Linked DNA regions of Saccharomyces cerevisiae S288C. The protein of the gene in region 2 interacts with the protein of the main gene of each other region in a biochemical or structural test. Each region holds a gene or a part of one and is shown on either strand. Other genes may lie near its edges.

Region 1 (13,176 bases), on a different chromosome or scaffold from region 2:
CAGTAAAAAGAAATTCTCGGAGAACAAAAAAAGAAAAGTGCAACTAGAAAAGGACGCAGGACCCTTTTATAATTTTGTACGAGGAGAGCGACCCCTGCAGATTACAAAGATAATAGAGCCTATTGTAGTATTTATGAATATTAGACTAATTCTCATACTTATACTAGATATTGTTGTTAGTTTACATACAAGCCCGTAAGTTCATGAAATTTATTCGACCTTTTCCTTTGTTTCTTCCAAAACTTCTTCAACTATCTCTTCGATGGTGGTAAAGTCATCGCTGGCATCTTCTGGTTGAACGTCAAAGATTTTGAAATTCATAGATTTTTCCATTTCTTGGCCAATTTTTTCTCTATATTCGGTCCATTGCTTCAATAATTCACGTTGGTGTAGAATCAAATCTCTCATGGCGGTGTCAGCTTCCATTGCATCTTGCTCTTCGAATTGGGCAGACCATTCCCTCAAGTTTTTCCTAACCTTTTTCCTTTCGGCGTTAGACAAAATGGAAGCTGGCCTTGGTCTCCAGGCAAAGTTCTTGAAGCCAGCAATGATGTCTTCTTTAACTAAGTTACCAGCAATATTGAAAATTTTGTAACCATGCTCCACCTTGTGTTTCAAAGAACTTGACCATGCGGTAACGTATCTACCAGATGGATCCCAAGTGATATTAGTAGCCGCAGAGTAGGTAGGATGAGCAACATCTTTCAAAGAAGCTGAAACATCATTATTGTCATTAATATTCTTTTCACCTGGATAGTCCATATCGTAAAATTGTAGGTCTGATCTACGCATGTTTGGACCCACTAAAGCACCTACAACCACAAATCTACCCGCTGGAGACCAAGAAACAGTGTTGGCAAAAGTTTTTGGAATTTCTTTGACCAAGCTCCATCTTTTAATTACGTCAGTCTTTTCTTTAGTTTCTGGAGCGTAAAATCTGATTGTATTTGCTGGGATAGCATAATTCATATCAGCTACTTCATGAACAGAAATTGTAACAAATCTATTTCCGTGGGGTTCCCAACCGAATTCAAAGACACTATCTTTCAATTCAACCTTTTCAACTGGTATATCTCTTTCAGTCAACCTACAAATTTGTAGATTACTGAATTGAGTCTTACCAGACTTTGTGTGACGTTCGACATTGAAGCACAGGAACTCAGCTTGGTTTTGCCAGTGCAGAGTTACGTTGGAGACTTGAACTAAGTTAACGGTTTTTAGCACTCTACCGCGAGGAACTTCAGCAATGGTAGCAGTACAAGCGGAATTATTAGTCTCAGGAGTCCAATAAGCCAATAAAACAGAAGGCTCGTCACCGTTTCTGAATGGTTGTAATTTAACACCTTCTGGAGCAAATGAGAAATCTCTAATACCAGAAGGCTTCAAAGCCTTAGCTTCTAATGGCATGAAGTTTTTAGTAGCATCGTGAACTATTAAACTGTCTCCAACCATACGAGCACAATATTTATCATTATAAGACCATCTAACTAAAGGCCATTTCAGATATGGGCTCTTTATCACTGGGAAAGTTGCCATCAACAGACCAGAAGCAATGTCCCAGATGCATAATTGATGACCCTCATTTTTCTTGGTAAATGGAGAGAATTCGTTATCTTCTTCTACAATGATTGGTTCCGTGGAGAAAGTGACCAGGTACTTTTCATTCGGAGAGACGGAAGAGTTTCTTACATCTGGATGATAGAATCTTCTCAAACGATCGAAGTTTGGACCACCCCATGCAGTTACACCCTGTTGATGGTAAGAAAACAAATAGGTACCCTTTGGGGAGAATCTAACATAATTGGTAGACCAGTTCTCTCTAGATTCCACCAAAGAATCTTCTTCATTGAACATAGAGTTCCAGAACACACTAGTCTTCACGTCATCTTGTAATACAAACTGATCTCTCACTTTGTCGTCCATTAACCAGGATTTTAAGGAACTAGATGGAACGAATGTAGGCATATCAGGCTCCCTGAATTCGGTGTCAAAGTCGTCAGAATTATATCTTTCAACATCTTTCATAGTATAAAGAAACAAACGATGTTTTAAATCCAGTCTTTTACCGTGGAAACTCTTGATAATTTTTTTAGCATCGTTCATTGAGCCACATTCCACGAAGAGAAAACCTTTCGTCTTACCAGTGGCTTCATCAATTGGAAATTCCATGTTAACAACTTTACCAGCTTTGGAAAACAAAGAAGTCAAAGCCTTTTTCAAAACAGGAACTTTGGCGGATGGGATGACTGGGGCACCATTAACGACGATGTACTGATCGAAATTGAATTCTTCAGTGACCTTGTATTGTTCTTCCAGGTCGGAAAAATCAATGTCGTCAACAGGGATGTCCTCTAGCTTAATGTCTTCGAAAGTCTCGGTAGTCATTTGAATTATCTTTGACCTTTTGAGCTGTGTGTTGCGAGATACTATACTATGTACTGAGATGTTATTGAAATATAATTCGTAAATATTTTTCAATGTGCGTGGAAGAAAATTTTTCATTAGTTTCCCGCTATCCAAAATATGGAAAGGAGGGTAATAGGTGTCAGAAGAATAAAAGTATTAGGCGATCAAGTAATAATGATAAGATGGTGCACAATGAGAAGTTTATCTAGTTACGTAAAATGTAATGGAAGGTACTAAAATGTATTTTTTGTTTCGCGGCGTTACACGTGAGTTCATATTATTTCAACTCTTTGGTTCTTCTTAACGTATTATCAGAATGTCACCTATTCTAGGTGAATATCACCCTCTTGGTCAGTGGTAGCGTTTGCATTCGTAGCCACTGGAGCATTTTCATCATCACTGGACATGACGTTATCACTGTCATCTTCGTCCTCGTCATCATCGCCGTTAATTTCTTTTTGGGCAAAATCGATAGCTTCCTGTAGCAGATCGCCCTTAACGAACTTGTGCAGACCATTCGTTTCCGACAGTGAACACCAACTTATTTCCAATTCAAAATCCTTTTCCTTGTTATCCTCGTGTGCCAAATAGATAATCTTTGCAGCTTGTTTAACGGCCTCTCTTGCTGAAAGACCTTCTGGATGATGGTCAACTAATTTTTCCAATTCAGCCTTCGCAGATTGCCTACCTTTCCCAGTGGCAGCCCCCTTGTAGCCCCAATAAGAGCCACTTGGTTCCAACATGTAAAGATGAGCACCATTTTTATCTACACCACCAAAGATGGTACTGACCCCGAACGGTCTAACACTGTTGTATAAAGTGTGCGCCTGCACATATTGTCCTAAACGGTCTGCAAATGCAGGAATGGGAATGGGCGTTTTATACAGCTTTTTGAAGCTGGCGGCTTCTTCACGACCACGATTAACCAGGTGCCTACCATCAGGAATCAAACCTGAATAAACGCAACCGATGTGACGGTCTACGACTTGAATCTTGACATTTTTTTGTGGGACCAGCAGTTTAGACGTAATGAGCTTTTCCACTGCAAAGACTACACCGTCGTTACACTTTATACCGATTGATGTGGTACCGTTTTCGACTGCTTTGACGGCATACTCTACTTGGAAATTTCTACCATCGGGGGAAAAAACACTATTGGAAAGATCGTAACCAGTACCAATTGATGTCATTGCTGAAGAGTTATGCTTTTGTTAATTTGATGATGCGACGCTCGAATGTGTTTGAAAGCTTTACAACTGCACTACCAAATAAACCCTCTACCGCCACTATTACCACTTACTTTCTTATTTTTGCCACCGATTTAGAGGGGCGGCGAAATCTTCGTTAAACGTGATTTAGCTATCGGAACCCATTATAAATTGTGAGGAAGCTTACCAACTCATAAGTGGAATAAAGACACAGGCAACACTTTTCAGAAGCAATGTCAGCAATGATTCAGAAAAGTGACCCCATCAGGGTCGAAATCTGAGTGCTCAGATTATCTCTTCAAAGGGTAAATTACGGGTAGGACTACATATACAGAGAACTTCTGGGACCTGGGAAATACTGTTCTTTCTAGTGTGTATACATGGGAATAGCTGCATATTTCCAGACAGTTTAGATGTTACCTTTGTTTAAAGTTAGAGTATTTTTCACACCGATGATTACGAAGTCACACATTCGCATCCTGCGGTATTGTCATTGACAACGCGTAAAAAAACATATACTTAACGGAGGCCGAAGGAGATGAGAAACAATTGAAGAAAAGGAAAGGTAATATTTATTTAAATAGTCGTTTTCAAACCAAAGCCCAGCAATATTTTTCATCACGTCTAATTGGCAGGGAAAATAGTAGTACGAATACTTGATAGGATTGCAGAAGATCTTGTACATAAATGGCCTATTATAGAGAGTCACGCTGAACACGCGGCGGTAGCTTCAAATCTTTCTCTGCATTAAGTTGCTAGAGCTTGGTCTGCCCATTATATGTTCACTACCATCAGAAATTGTGCCTATGATTGTCTATCTTCACTTTTTTTTTTTTTTTGAACTTCCAAGCTGGTCGTGCTGCTATATTTATTTATACGTGTGATTTCGTCTTGCTAACATTAACATTTTTCTTCTTAAAACACACAACGGCGAAATGATTCGTATCACATGTTTTTCTATCGTCTGAGCTGTCAATGTTTTATAACCTAGACATTAAAAGTTATATAATTAAGGTGGGTTCGTCTTTGGAGGAGGTGCTTCCTTCTTGTTTAGGACTTTCATACTGGTAATGCTTTATAAGCACGGCCGTTGTTTTAGTTTCAGATCTTCCTATTGTAAATGGAATAAACTGGCGTTCCTACCGTGATGGCAGCGATATTACCTACCTTATATACTGCGCTTTTAACTTATGTATAATATATATATTAAATAAAATACAAAACAAAGTCTTGAATTTCTTTTCTATCTCTGCAATAGTTGACATTATTTCCAGTCCCAATTCAATGCGCTATCAAAAGGCACCATAATTTACAGTATATTATTTGAGCCATATCTAAGCGGAAAGCTCACAAGTTCTTGTCATGATACAACCTGATAGAATAACTATGTCGACACTCTACCGTATTAGGCGCAATGAAGTGGCCGTATACATCTCAGGAAAACTGGAAAAGACTTCCTAGTCGTTCTGGAAAAGTAGGTCATAATCGAAGAAATCAAGGCTACCAAAAATATCGGGAACATCCATGGATATGTCCAAAGAAGACATGGGAGGGTCATAGTAGTTTTTAAAATTACTCGGTAACTTAACATTGTCATTGTTATTAATGTTCGAACCACTGTTATTGTAGTTATTGTTTATCGGCATAAAGTTTAGATTAGGAGCGGCACGGTTACTTTCACTCGAACCAATTGACGGAGGCATGTTTTCCTCATTATTTTGGTTACTAATATTGTGTGCTAAGCTATAAGTGGAGGCATTACCAACATTTGTAGGGTCATTTGAGCTGCTGTACGGTGGTACACTCTCATTTTCCACGCTGGAGTTGAGTAAAAGTTCAATTGTGGGTGTATTATCTTTCATGTTTGGTTTTGATGGATTCAGAGAATTTTGTGGGTCAGCAACACCGATGTTTTTTATTCTGTCAAATTCTTTGATGATTTGGTATAATTGATCAAGGGTAAAGTTAACAGTGAGATTTTTGCCCTTTAGTCTATCAATTAAATGGTCAGACTTGTCCAAGTTAATTCCAAGTGTCAACTCCAACATTGTGGCAATTTTTTTGGTAGTCAAGTCTTTGTCTACTTTGACAAACAAACCAGAAAATAATTGACCTTTCCTCAGCCTTTGAATGAATACGTCAAACAAGGTCAACATCTTGAAAATGTAGAAATATTTAAATCTCAGGTTTTGGGACGCAAGTAAATATACTTCCAACAAAAGCCTCTCGAAGTTCTCCTTGATAGTGTCCAATGACTTTATTTTCTCCTTTATTTCTGGGAGGTCACTAATGTCACCTCTGGCATTGCATTCGTTACATTTGACCAGAAGCATATTTTTGGCCAGCTCTACCCGCATGATGATGACCAAAAGGGTAAACATCGTGGTAGGAACAGCCAATTGAATAACTTTTGTAGTGATGAAACAAACTAAAGAAGAAAGAACTTTCTCGTAACTGCCATTGAAATACAGGAAAAAAAATCTGATTAGGGAAATGGTGTCGGCACAACATTGAAAAAAATACTTATAGAAGAAGGATAAGCATTCGCTTCTCTCCATTGCAAGTGTTTCAAAATATAACATCAGCGCTATTGAGGCCCTTAACATCATTAATTTACCCAAGATCTGGCCCGATAAACTTATAGAATTCAAAATTGAATTGAACGTTAGTTTTTGAAATGTCTTCTCTTCGTCGTAGATGTTAATATCCACACTTCTTAGCTGAAATTTGTTTTTTAAAAGTTCATTGGCTTTAACGCGTAAAGTTTCTAGTGTATCCATTGGAACCGAACCACTGTATGAAATGGTTATATTATTCAAATCAGACAAGAATAATGCTAATTGAGCCCTATGGAAAAAAATCTCATGGATTTCGAGCAGTTGCTCATCCGATTCGGAACCTGTTAGATCCTTCTTAACCCTTTTTTTATAGATTTCTACACAATTGGGATCCCGAACGTCAATGAAAAGATCAATCATTGAAAGGGGTGAGACCAATAGTCTACCCTTCAGGCTTGACTCCAGAGTTGCCATAGAGATAATTGATAGCCACTGTATCCTTCGTAAATTTAGCAGCCTTTTGTCTGAAGCTTCGGGGTGGTTCAAGGCTGGAAAGTCAGATGGGTCACGATGTAATCCGATAGACGTCCCTATTAGTATGACAAGGTTAATTATAACATCCGACGGTTGTTCTAACAGAAAATCACCCTCAGTTGGGGAAAAAACAAATGCACACCAGATATAGAGTAAGCATGAAATGGTATTTTCATTTGCACAAGCACACCAATTTTCCGATGCAAGTATCTGCTGCGCTAGGAAAATTACTTCGCTTTGAATCGGATATTGCTCTAGCATCTCTTTGGTAATATACGGACTGTAATCTTCAATCTTATCTTCTATAAATGTCAAAGAGATATACGCGATCCTCAAAATTAACAGTAAGATACACAGATTCTCCATTTTATTTCGTATAAGGGTTGTGCCCATCGATAGTCGTACCTCTCCTAATTCATTATACTGTACTGTTGTGTGAATTGATTCCTCCAACATTTCCTTGCTGGCGAAAGGGATTAGGTGGAAAATATGCTCAAAGAAATGAGAGAGGTACTGTTCAATGATTGCCTTGGGAGGGAGCGTTTTCTCGATTTCATTGATGTAGCCTTTCAACAAATCAGAATAGTCGTTTTCGGTGGGGCATGTATCCTCTAAATATGACGATTCCCTGTTACTGTATAATAAAGAAATTACTTTATTTACCGCAATCTGTTCTTCAGGGTTCTTTCTCTGTAGTAGCCTGTCCGTAAACTCGTTAATGGATTTTCTTTGTGATTCGTATTTTGAGTTTTTCAATAGAACCTCTCTCATTTTTACAACGTTATTCTTTACGCATGGCTGTGTCCTCGACCTACTAATATCTGCATTTAAAGCAGGAATCATGGAGTTTCTGGAACAACTTAGAAGCACGGAGGCAATTAATGTCTTCAGAAAGGTATCTTGAAATATTAAGTACTTCTCAGATAAAGGGTTGATTTCTCTTTTCATCACTTTGGTCATAATCAATCTGGGATGAGTCTTATAAAGACTTATTGGAAAGCTATTTTCCTGCAAGCTTTTACATGTCCTTCTAGCAGCTAATTCTTCAGTCGGCCTTTTCAATGCAGTGTAGAAGTCTTTCTTTTCTTGAGTCAAATCCACGGTTTTATTTCTCCAGTAACGAATCTCCTTTTTCAGTCTCGCTATGGTGGCATCCTTATTCGGATTCCTAGGGGCCGCCTGTCTGGCGACATCATATATACAAAAGAGGTTTTGTTTAGTACATCTGCCACATCTAGGTTTTTCCTGGTCACACTTCGTCTTTGCTTTTCTACAAGCTTGGCAAACAAAAGAAAGTCTATTCCTTTTTTTACCTACTCTATTCATTGCCGGTGATGATTCGTCTGTAAAGTACATCTTTTATCGAAGAAATTTTGTTCAGCAAGATCAGAAAGTGATATTTCATCCGCTCTATACGTTTCAGTAGATTTTCTTTATCTGACCTCTATTAAGTCCTAACAACGCTTTATGTTTTCTTCGTTGGAGATACTCCGGAGATTATATTTAGTTCCGAGATGGTCTTACAACCTTTCAAATTCCAAAATCAGAAGAAATTTTGCAGGAAGGCAAATCCTACCGGACGTATTAGTCACGATTTTATTTATTCACATATACAGATATTCACAGTTCGAATTTTGTTTACAAAGGTCAATCTTATTGATCTGCGGCTTTTGAATACCGTTGCATTCAAGAACGGCTTTCTTCATTTCGTGCAGTTCCGGGACCGATTCGTAAACCGCATCATCATCCATTTCACCCTTCAAAAAGGATCGTCTTTGATCATCAATAGGTTTGTATCTTGTATCAGGGTGTTTGTAGTATATTGCCATCGTAAAGCATATCAATATGAAAATGAAGAGATACAAAGAAAACGCTGCATTTAGAAAAAAGAAAATTAGTCCCATAAAAGAAGACACAGCTATGGGCTGCTGAAATAAGTTACTGAAAAATAAGAAAAAAAATGCGTTCACTAAATTCAGTGAATGGATACTAATATTGAAGAAGTTGGTTGTTTTATCCATGTAAGGTTGCATCCAGCACAAAAGGATGAGATAGATAGCTTCATTCAAAAAGATACCAATAGATTGAGATTTTCCGTGCGCTTGTAGAGAACCCACTAGTATAGACCTAATAAGCATGTGTGCAGAGGTCGCCATTAACCACCAGACTTTTGTAGACTTAAATTGAGAGGAAAGAAAGCCGAACTTGTTTAAGAATTTCGAGCTACTGAAGAGTAAATAGCTTGGCTGGCCAAATATTTTCTTAGACTTGATCATCTTCCTCCATATTCTTACGCTTGCGGATGATAACAAGACTGTAATCAAAATGAAAACAACGATTGCCTCCACTAAGGTAGCTGCTGAGTCTGTTTGAGTGAACTCCCAAAGTGCTAAAAGAGATATCTCAGAATAAATTATGAACACCGCTCGATATAGTGTCCCCTGTAAAAGTGCACTCCAATGTGTGTGGAAGTGTAAATATCTAATTGTCTTAACTTTAAACTTCTGAAGTACTTTCAAAAATGTTTTGAAGATAATAAACGCCAATATTATCATACAAATGAATATGATAAAGAAGGAAAATCCCGTTAAAAAGAAATTTGATATCTCAATTCCAGCTTTGTAAGACACCCTTTTAATACCTCTTAATACTAAAATTTTTGACAGATAGTCATTTGAATTTCTCAAATTTGAAGTGTATAATAAATCATTTTTTTGGGAACTTTCAATACCATTTAAATTACTTGACGCTGATATGATTTTACTGTTCAAGGATCTTTTTTGAACACTGATCGATAAAACTTCTTTATTGCGGTATACAACGGTGGGGGACCCAGATGTTGCGACAACATACCAGTCAAATAACCGCTGCATAAAATTTATCCTTATTATTCCCATTGACCATTGGAAATTTTGAGTCCAAGCGGCGACAATAGGCGGTAAAAATGATACACTAATCATAGCTAAAATAGCCAAATTTTGGAAATATAAAAGTAGCGATATTGAATAAGACGCCAGTCTTGTTGAAGTAACCGTATAACCTTGCAAAGAATAAACCACTGAAAACATAATTCCGGAAATTGTCAATATCACTAGATTCCACGATAAATACTCTGTTTGGACTGTTCTACCATTTGATAACATCACTTGTACACATGCTAGAGGTTTGGTAAATTCTTTATCAATAGTGGAGTATGCTGTCACCACAATATATGCGTCTAAGTCAGGTATATTATATGTTATGCTTGGTATTTGGCTAGCTACCGCGGCCTCAACATAATAACTTCCCATGAGTTCTATATTTCCCGGCTTCAACGGACATAATAAATTATCTTGGATTCCACATAGATCAAAAACTTTGGTATAAACATTGAGACCATATGCAATCAATTCTGCCTTGATGGTTATGTTTTCGCTCATAATTGTTTGTGCTTCAACATTAAAGAATAGAGTATTATTTCTCGGGAAAAAAGCAGCTTCGAAATACGATGCAGAAAACTGTGAGTCTTTAGCACAAGTCAACAGAGCCGAAGTCCTTAGATATTCTTTAGTATATGCATCAAATGGTACTGGGAATAGAGTCGATGCGTTGTTCAGTAGTGTAAAAGAGTTAGAAACCTGGAAAGTAGAGCTGTTAATGGAAATAGCGTGTATTTGTCGGAAGATTGCTAGCAAAACAAAAATCCGAGATAAAGAGAAGACTTTAATGGGAAGCATACTTATTCTCTTTACATCTATAAATCAGAGAGGTTAAATATTATTTAAAATAGCATTACGACTTTGCTTCATCATCCTTCCAAAATATTGACACTGCATCATTTTTTAAATGTGTCAGTAATTCGGGCACAAAAATATAAATGGACCGCCATGAACTAAAGCTGTCGTCGATATGGATCGCTCCATAGCAGCATTATAAAAATTAAAAATGCATCAATACCATGCTACAGTAATAACAAAATACAGCATGGATTACCACTACATATTCATCATGTCATGCATTATAGTTGTAACATATGCTGAACACCCATTCATCACGTGTAATTGGACATCCGTGGAGTTCCAAAAGGAGTATAAACGCAAATAGTAAAGCTAAGATATAAGTAGTGTCTAAGTAAATGACTTCTTTGTAAGCGTACAGCTAAAGTTTACCGATGAGTTACGATAAGAAGGCAGATGTCACATCCTTAGATGAAGATTTGAGACAACTAAGAGAAAGCAAATTTTCACCGGAAGCAATTCAAAATATCAAAATATGGGTATATAAATCTGTCCTAAAAGAGATAGCTCCTCCTGGAGACTTATTGGAATGCTTGAAAGATGGAACAGTCCTATGTAAGCTGGCAAATATTTTATATGAAGCAGACACAGGAGAAGCTAACCATATTAGTTGGAAGAGCTCTAAAATGCCATTTGTTCAAATGGATCAAATTTCCCAATTTTTATCATTTTCGAGAAAATATGGTGTGCCTGAAGATGAACTGTTTCAGACAATTGATCTTTTTGAGAAAAAGGATCCTGCCATTGTTTTCCAAACGTTGAAGTCACTATCTCGTTACGCCAACAAAAAACATACAGATAGATTTCCAGTTCTAGGACCACAACTGTCAACAAAGAAGCCAAGACCCCCGGTTAAGTCTAAACCAAAACATCTACAAGATGGTACTGGATGGAGCACTTTTGAATACGGTTATATGAAAGGTGCATCTCAGGCTACTGAAGGAGTGGTGTTAGGACAACGGAGAGATATAGTTTAGAGAATTATTATTAACACTTTCTCTGGCAGAAATTGATAAATAAACATTTAAGAACCCTATATACGCAACCAAAGTTCCTTTGATATATTTTAGTTTTCCATCAAAGTTTTCCTACATAAACACTAAGGTGGCTAGAGACGCGTAACAAAAGTTAACGTTACCGGTAAAAATGTGATTATACAAATCAATCTCACAGAACGGTGTGGAAACAAAGTAGTTGAAGGATTTCAACTATGCGAATCAACAGTGAGCTAGCGAACAAGTTTTCTGCCTCAACGGTGCACTTAGAACATATCACAACTGCTTTAAGTTGTTTAACACCTTTTGGTTCTAAAGACGATGTGCTTATATTCATTGATGCTGATGGGCTGTCATTTGTCAGGGAGAATAATCATGTGATAAAAATCCAACTACTGTTATCTCGGGAGCTATTTATGTCTTATTCGTATAGAAATGAAACTGAGGATCACATGAAACTTTGTGTAAAAATAAATCATATCTTAGATAGCGTTAGCGTGATGAACAGGAATTCGGATGACATTGTTGAGTGTACTTTATCTTATGATGGACATGGATCACCATTTGTACTAATATTTGAAGACTCGTTCATTTCTGAGAGAGTGGAGTACTCTACCTACTTAATTAAGGATTTTGATACTAATGGACTAGAACTCGATAGAGAAAGGATAAGCTTTGAGGCAATTATTAAGGGCGAAGCCCTTCATTCAGCCTTAAAGGATCTAAAAGAAATCGGATGCAAAGAGTGCTATGTATATGCAAAGACCGAGGCGAATGATGAGAATGTATTTGCCCTGATATCTAAATCTCAGCTAGGATTTTCTAAAATAAAATTACCCAGTAACAGATCCATACTAGAGAAGTTACAAGTATTTGACGGAGATTCCACAACAGTAATAGATGGTTTTGCTGTAATTGGGTTCTTCGATTTCACCTCGTTTGATAAAATCAGAAAGAGTACTAAAATTGCAAGCAAAGTCCTTTTCAGGATGGATGTTCATGGCGTATTGAGTGTAAATATTCTAAGTCAAACAGACGATGTCATTATCACTGATACTACAAGACCTTCAAATAATCGACCAGGTAGTATTCGCCAACTGCAGCTACCCAAGGATTATCCCGGTATAGTAATTGAGGTTTGCATGCTAGAAAAAGAATCCATAGATGAGGCAGCACAGACAGAAATAGAACTCCTGATGGAGACTAATGAACTTGGCAATCGTAATAGTTTTAAAAAATCAACTATAAGAAAAAGATATGGTACAGATAAAGGCAATGAAACTTCAAATGACAACTTGCTGCAATTGAATGGGAAAAAAATTAAACTACCATCTGAAGAAGAAAACAATAAAAACAGGGAAAGTGAGGATGAAGAGAATCACTGCAAGTATCCAACAAAGGATATTCCTATATTTTTTTAAGTCAATATCCAGCATCGCAGAAAACGCAGAACTTCATTCAGCATTTGGTAATTTTATAACATATAACTTACAATTAAATAAAAGTTTAACTATATATTATTATGTGATCTAACTCTAGAAAAAGTACTAATGAACATCACACCGTTTATTGTTGGGAGAAGTGTTCCATGATCATGGACAATTCATCAGTTTCAGCACCCCAGTTCTTGACAACAACAACGGAGGCACCGACAACCTTTCTGGCGTTACCTTCACGGTCGATCTTACCCAAACCAGCC
Region 2 (4,055 bases):
CATTGGGTCTCTGGACTTAGCTATGGTATTTAGTAGATGTCGCGCTTCAGGCCAAGGGTCCGCTATCGAATCAGCCCTTATTAACACTATTGCGTTACATATTACGCACAGGTATAATAAGAGTGTTATCATAGTTTGCTTATAATATTCGGCAGGGGTTAAAGAGTCACGGTGAAATTTGAATTTCTAATCGATTGTTCTTTTTTATTTTGCTGAAGTGCGAGTTCGTTACTTGCTTACTTACTGCGATTTGCCGTTAAAGTAAAGCCCGCTGTCAACTTTTCCGAAGAAGCGCCAAGAAGGCATACAAGTCAGCAGAAGTTGAAAACTGTAAAAGAAGTACCCACGAGAAGACGGACCCCCTAGTATTAAGTTTAAATTTTTATTTCTTCCAGTTACTGCTCTACATCAATGTAAACTCGCTAATATATATATATATATATATATATATGTCGTACATGTATGTGTACCCATGACAAAAAAGTATATATAGGACAGTATCAAAGATCAATTAAGCTTACACCTTGGTCAGGAGTATATCCCTGTTGCTGCTGTTGCTGCTGCTGCTGCTGCTGTTGTTGTTGATGAGGTTGAATGTATTGTGGTTGTTGTTGATAATTTTGAGTGTATTGTGGTTGTTGTTGGAAGTTTTGGGCGTATTGAGGTTGCTGTTGTTGGAAATTTTGCATGTATTGCGGTTGTTGCTGTGGCTGTTGTTGCTGTTGTGGCTGAGAGTAGCTTATACCAGTAGGATTTTGCTGAGGAGAATTAGTAGGAGGACTTTGAGGTTGGTTACCAAACCCGTACCCTGTTTGCGTGGGCACGATATTTGTGCTTGGTAAACCAGTGTATTGGTTGCTTAAGAAAGGGTTGTTCTTGGGTTCATTAGTAACCTGTTTGTAGCCTGTACCCTGAGAATTTATAAATGTGCCTGTCTTTGTATGTTGTGCAGGAATACGTGCCTCTCCAGTGTTACCAAAAGTATCTATCCCTGTACCAGTTGCTAACAAGGTATTCAAGTCGCTGTATTTATCCGATATAGACTGGTTCCCAGTCCTTGTTTGCTTCAAGGGTTGTTGTTGCTGGAACTGGGCTTGCTGTTGTAGCAATTGGGCTTGCTGCTGTTGTAATTGGGCTTCTTCTTGCCTCTTCTGGTGTAATTGAGCTTCCTCTTGTTGTTGTCTTTGCAATTGTTGTAGCTTCAATTGTTCTTGTTGTTGTCTAGCTTCTTCTTGTTGTCTTTGCAATTGAGCATGCTGTTGCTCCTGCTTTTGTCTTTCAAGATTATCCATGGAAAACGGATTATTAGAACCTGTAGGCAAAGGTTGTTGAAAATCAGCGGGCTGTTGTTGTTGTTGTTGCATATTAGCGGCTGTTTGTTGCTGTTGCAAGGCAGAAGCGGCGGCCGCAGCTTGTTGTTGCTGCTGAAAATATTGTTGTTCAGCAAGCTGCTGTTGTTCTTGCTGCTGGTCCAGCCATCTTTGCTGAGCCATTGCTTGTTCCTGGTCCTGTTGGTACTGATACTGTAAGTATTCATCTTGGGAGATTGGATTACCGAAAATGTCGTAGTACGCTGGTTGTTGTTGTGGTTGTTGTTGTTGTAAAGGAGCTTGAAATTGAGACAGAGACTGTTGTTGCTTCTGTAATCTCTGTAGTTCCTGCAATTGCTTCAACTCCTCTTCTTCTTTACTTAGTTGTAAGGCAGCTTGGAAGTCAGGATCTTCATCGTCGTACTGGGCCAGTTCTCTTCTACGTTGTTCATCTTCTTGAGCAGTAATTCTGCTCTCCTCTAGGGCCTTTTCCAAATCGTCCTGGTAAGAGGGAGAAGAATCGTGTGGGTTGCTCCTTGTTCTTTGTCTTCTTGGCCTTGGCCTAGCAGCTCTGTTCGCCCTTCTGTTTCTTGTATTCATAGACCTCTCTTCGCGTAGCCTTTCTTCATCATTCAACAAAGAGACGAGTTCTTTAGCCTTTACTCTGATAATTTGTCCCTCGTCAAATCCGGACTCATTTTCGTGTCTGAATTCCCTTAATGTCTTAATTACGTAAAAATTCTCTCTGCACCATAGCACACAGTTCTCACTCCCGAAACGAACAAGATAGTCCAAAACGGTCAGCGATTTGGCAACGTGTCTCCAGTATTTGCCCTTATCGTTCAGCCTCTTGTCTAACATATCCATAATCTCGAAGAAGTCCACCGAATCGTAAGATCTCTGTGCCAAATCGTCGAGAGTGTCTATCGATGGAGTCCTCGAGTCGTTCGCCGTGGCATCTCTCACAAGCACTTGTGTGGATGAGTAGCCCTTCATCATGTTCTTTGCAGAACGAACAAACTGCTTAGACATTACTTACAAAACAAATACACTTAATAGGGGTGTGTCAAAATAAACAAAAGAAGATGATAAGAATTTGTGAAGGTCAAACTAGAATGTGAGCGTATTCGCAGTTGTAGGCAAAACAGAACAAAATAATTAAATAAACGAACGCCTCCTTCAACAAAGGTCAATAATGTAGCAAAATATTGGGAGTGTGTCAATCCTTGAAAGGGTCCGTAACTAAACTCTTCTTTCTTTAGTTTCCACTACTTTTTTTTTCACCCTTCGCCGCAGGGTAATTTCTTGTAGGCCATGTATATACGATTAATCGTTACACATAAAATGCGGTTTGGACAAACAATACAATGGATCGTGCGGGATACTGCCAGACTACGCTATGCTCGACTGTAGAATACTGAGTGGTGATATCGCCCCTTCGGTATTGTGATCTTGGGCGCACTTGTTTATCTAACAGGTGCGGGTGCAAGTTTACTAGAGCATCGTCGTATGATGGGGAAAGTCAGGGTGTATGTGCCCGTCGATTGAGCACCAAGACCCGTTGCCATGTGCATATGTTATTGTACCCATAGAGGCAGTCCACGTTCGGCCATCTATCTATCTTTAGATAAACGGATCATTGGCGATACCGCCTGGCCATTTGCACCTGCTCGGGGTCGGCGTTATCGGACCGTGGAATTTGAGCCATGTAACACACGGTTTCAAACATGGGCTAATGACCTTCATAAGTAGGACGATTTACACCTGAGTTGGGTGTGATGGAGCAATGGCCAGGTGCCCCTCTCGCCCTCTTGTGTTTGTATATAAGAGCAACCTCCTCATACTCTCTTGCTTAGTCTAAGGAGGAGCTATTTAACAGTGCACAATATAACACAGCATATATACACACACACACATAAAATAACCGCAAAAATGGAGGACAGTAGCAATACAATCATACCCTCACCCACTGACGTGGGGGCGCTAGCAAACAGAATCAACTTTCAAACCAGAGATGCCCACAATAAAATCAATACCTTCATGGGCATAAAGATGGCCATCGCCATGAGACATGGCTTTATATACAGACAGGGTATTCTGGCGTACTATTATGTGTTCGATGCCATCGAGCAAGAGATAGATCGCCTACTGAATGACCCCGTAACGGAGGAGGAGCTGCAAACTTCGACCATTCTGAAGCAGTTTTGGCTCGAAGATTTTAGAAGATCTACGCAGATCTATAAGGACCTGAAGCTGCTATACTCAAACACGTTTAAAAGCACAGAATCATTAAACGAATTCCTGGCTACGTTCCAGAAGCCACCGCTACTACAGCAGTTTATCAATAACATCCACGAAAACATACACAAGGAGCCATGCACCATTCTTTCTTACTGTCACGTTCTGTACTTGGCGCTTTTCGCCGGCGGCAAGCTAATACGATCGAATTTGTACAGAAGACTGGGGCTCTTCCCCAACTTCGAGAAGCTATCACAGAAGGAACTGGTCAAAAAGGGCACAAACTTCTTCACCTTCAGCGATCTGGGTCCCACTGAAGAAACACGCTTGAAATGGGAATACAAGAAGAACTATGAGCTGGCCACCAGGACGGAATTGACCGAAGCACAAAAGTTGCAGATCATTAGCGTCGCAGAAGGCATTTTTGATTGGAACTTCAACATCGTTGCAGAAATTGGAGAGTTGAATCGTCGCGAGTTAATGGGCAAGTTCAGCTTCAAGTGTATT

What was found.
Region 1: the proteins of ENT2 (region 2) and PIP2 are reported together in a solved structure, tested with the Saccharomyces cerevisiae proteins (one study listed by BioGRID).

The regions. Positions count from the first base shown.
Region 1 is NC_001147.6:1,015,151-1,028,326, forward strand, and holds PIP2 (oleate-activated transcription factor PIP2), read right to left. Parts: upstream 8,063-13,176; coding exon 5,072-8,062; downstream 1-5,071. Other genes in the region: PRT1 (translation initiation factor eIF3 core subunit b), read right to left, coding at 211-2,502; PRE10 (proteasome core particle subunit alpha 7), read right to left, coding at 2,730-3,596; YOR365C (putative flavin adenine dinucleotide transporter), read right to left, coding at 8,311-10,422; SCP1 (Scp1p), read left to right, coding at 10,857-11,459; RAD17 (Rad17p), read left to right, coding at 11,693-12,898; 40S ribosomal protein eS12 RPS12, read right to left, coding at 13,044-13,176. UniProt on the Saccharomyces cerevisiae protein: The PIP2-OAF1 heterodimer acts as a transcriptional activator to induce the transcription of genes encoding proteins involved in fatty acid beta-oxidation, a response called oleic acid induction, when cells grow on fatty acids as sole carbon source.
Region 2 is NC_001144.5:552,865-556,919, reverse strand, and holds ENT2 (epsin), read right to left. Parts: upstream 2,343-4,055; coding exon 501-2,342; downstream 1-500. Other genes in the region: ubiquitin ligase complex subunit HRD3, read right to left, coding at 1-132; HMX1 (Hmx1p), read left to right, coding at 3,243-4,055. UniProt on the Saccharomyces cerevisiae protein: Binds to membranes enriched in phosphatidylinositol 3,5-bisphosphate (PtdIns(3,5)P2) and phosphatidylinositol 4,5-bisphosphate (PtdIns(4,5)P2). Required for endocytosis and localization of actin.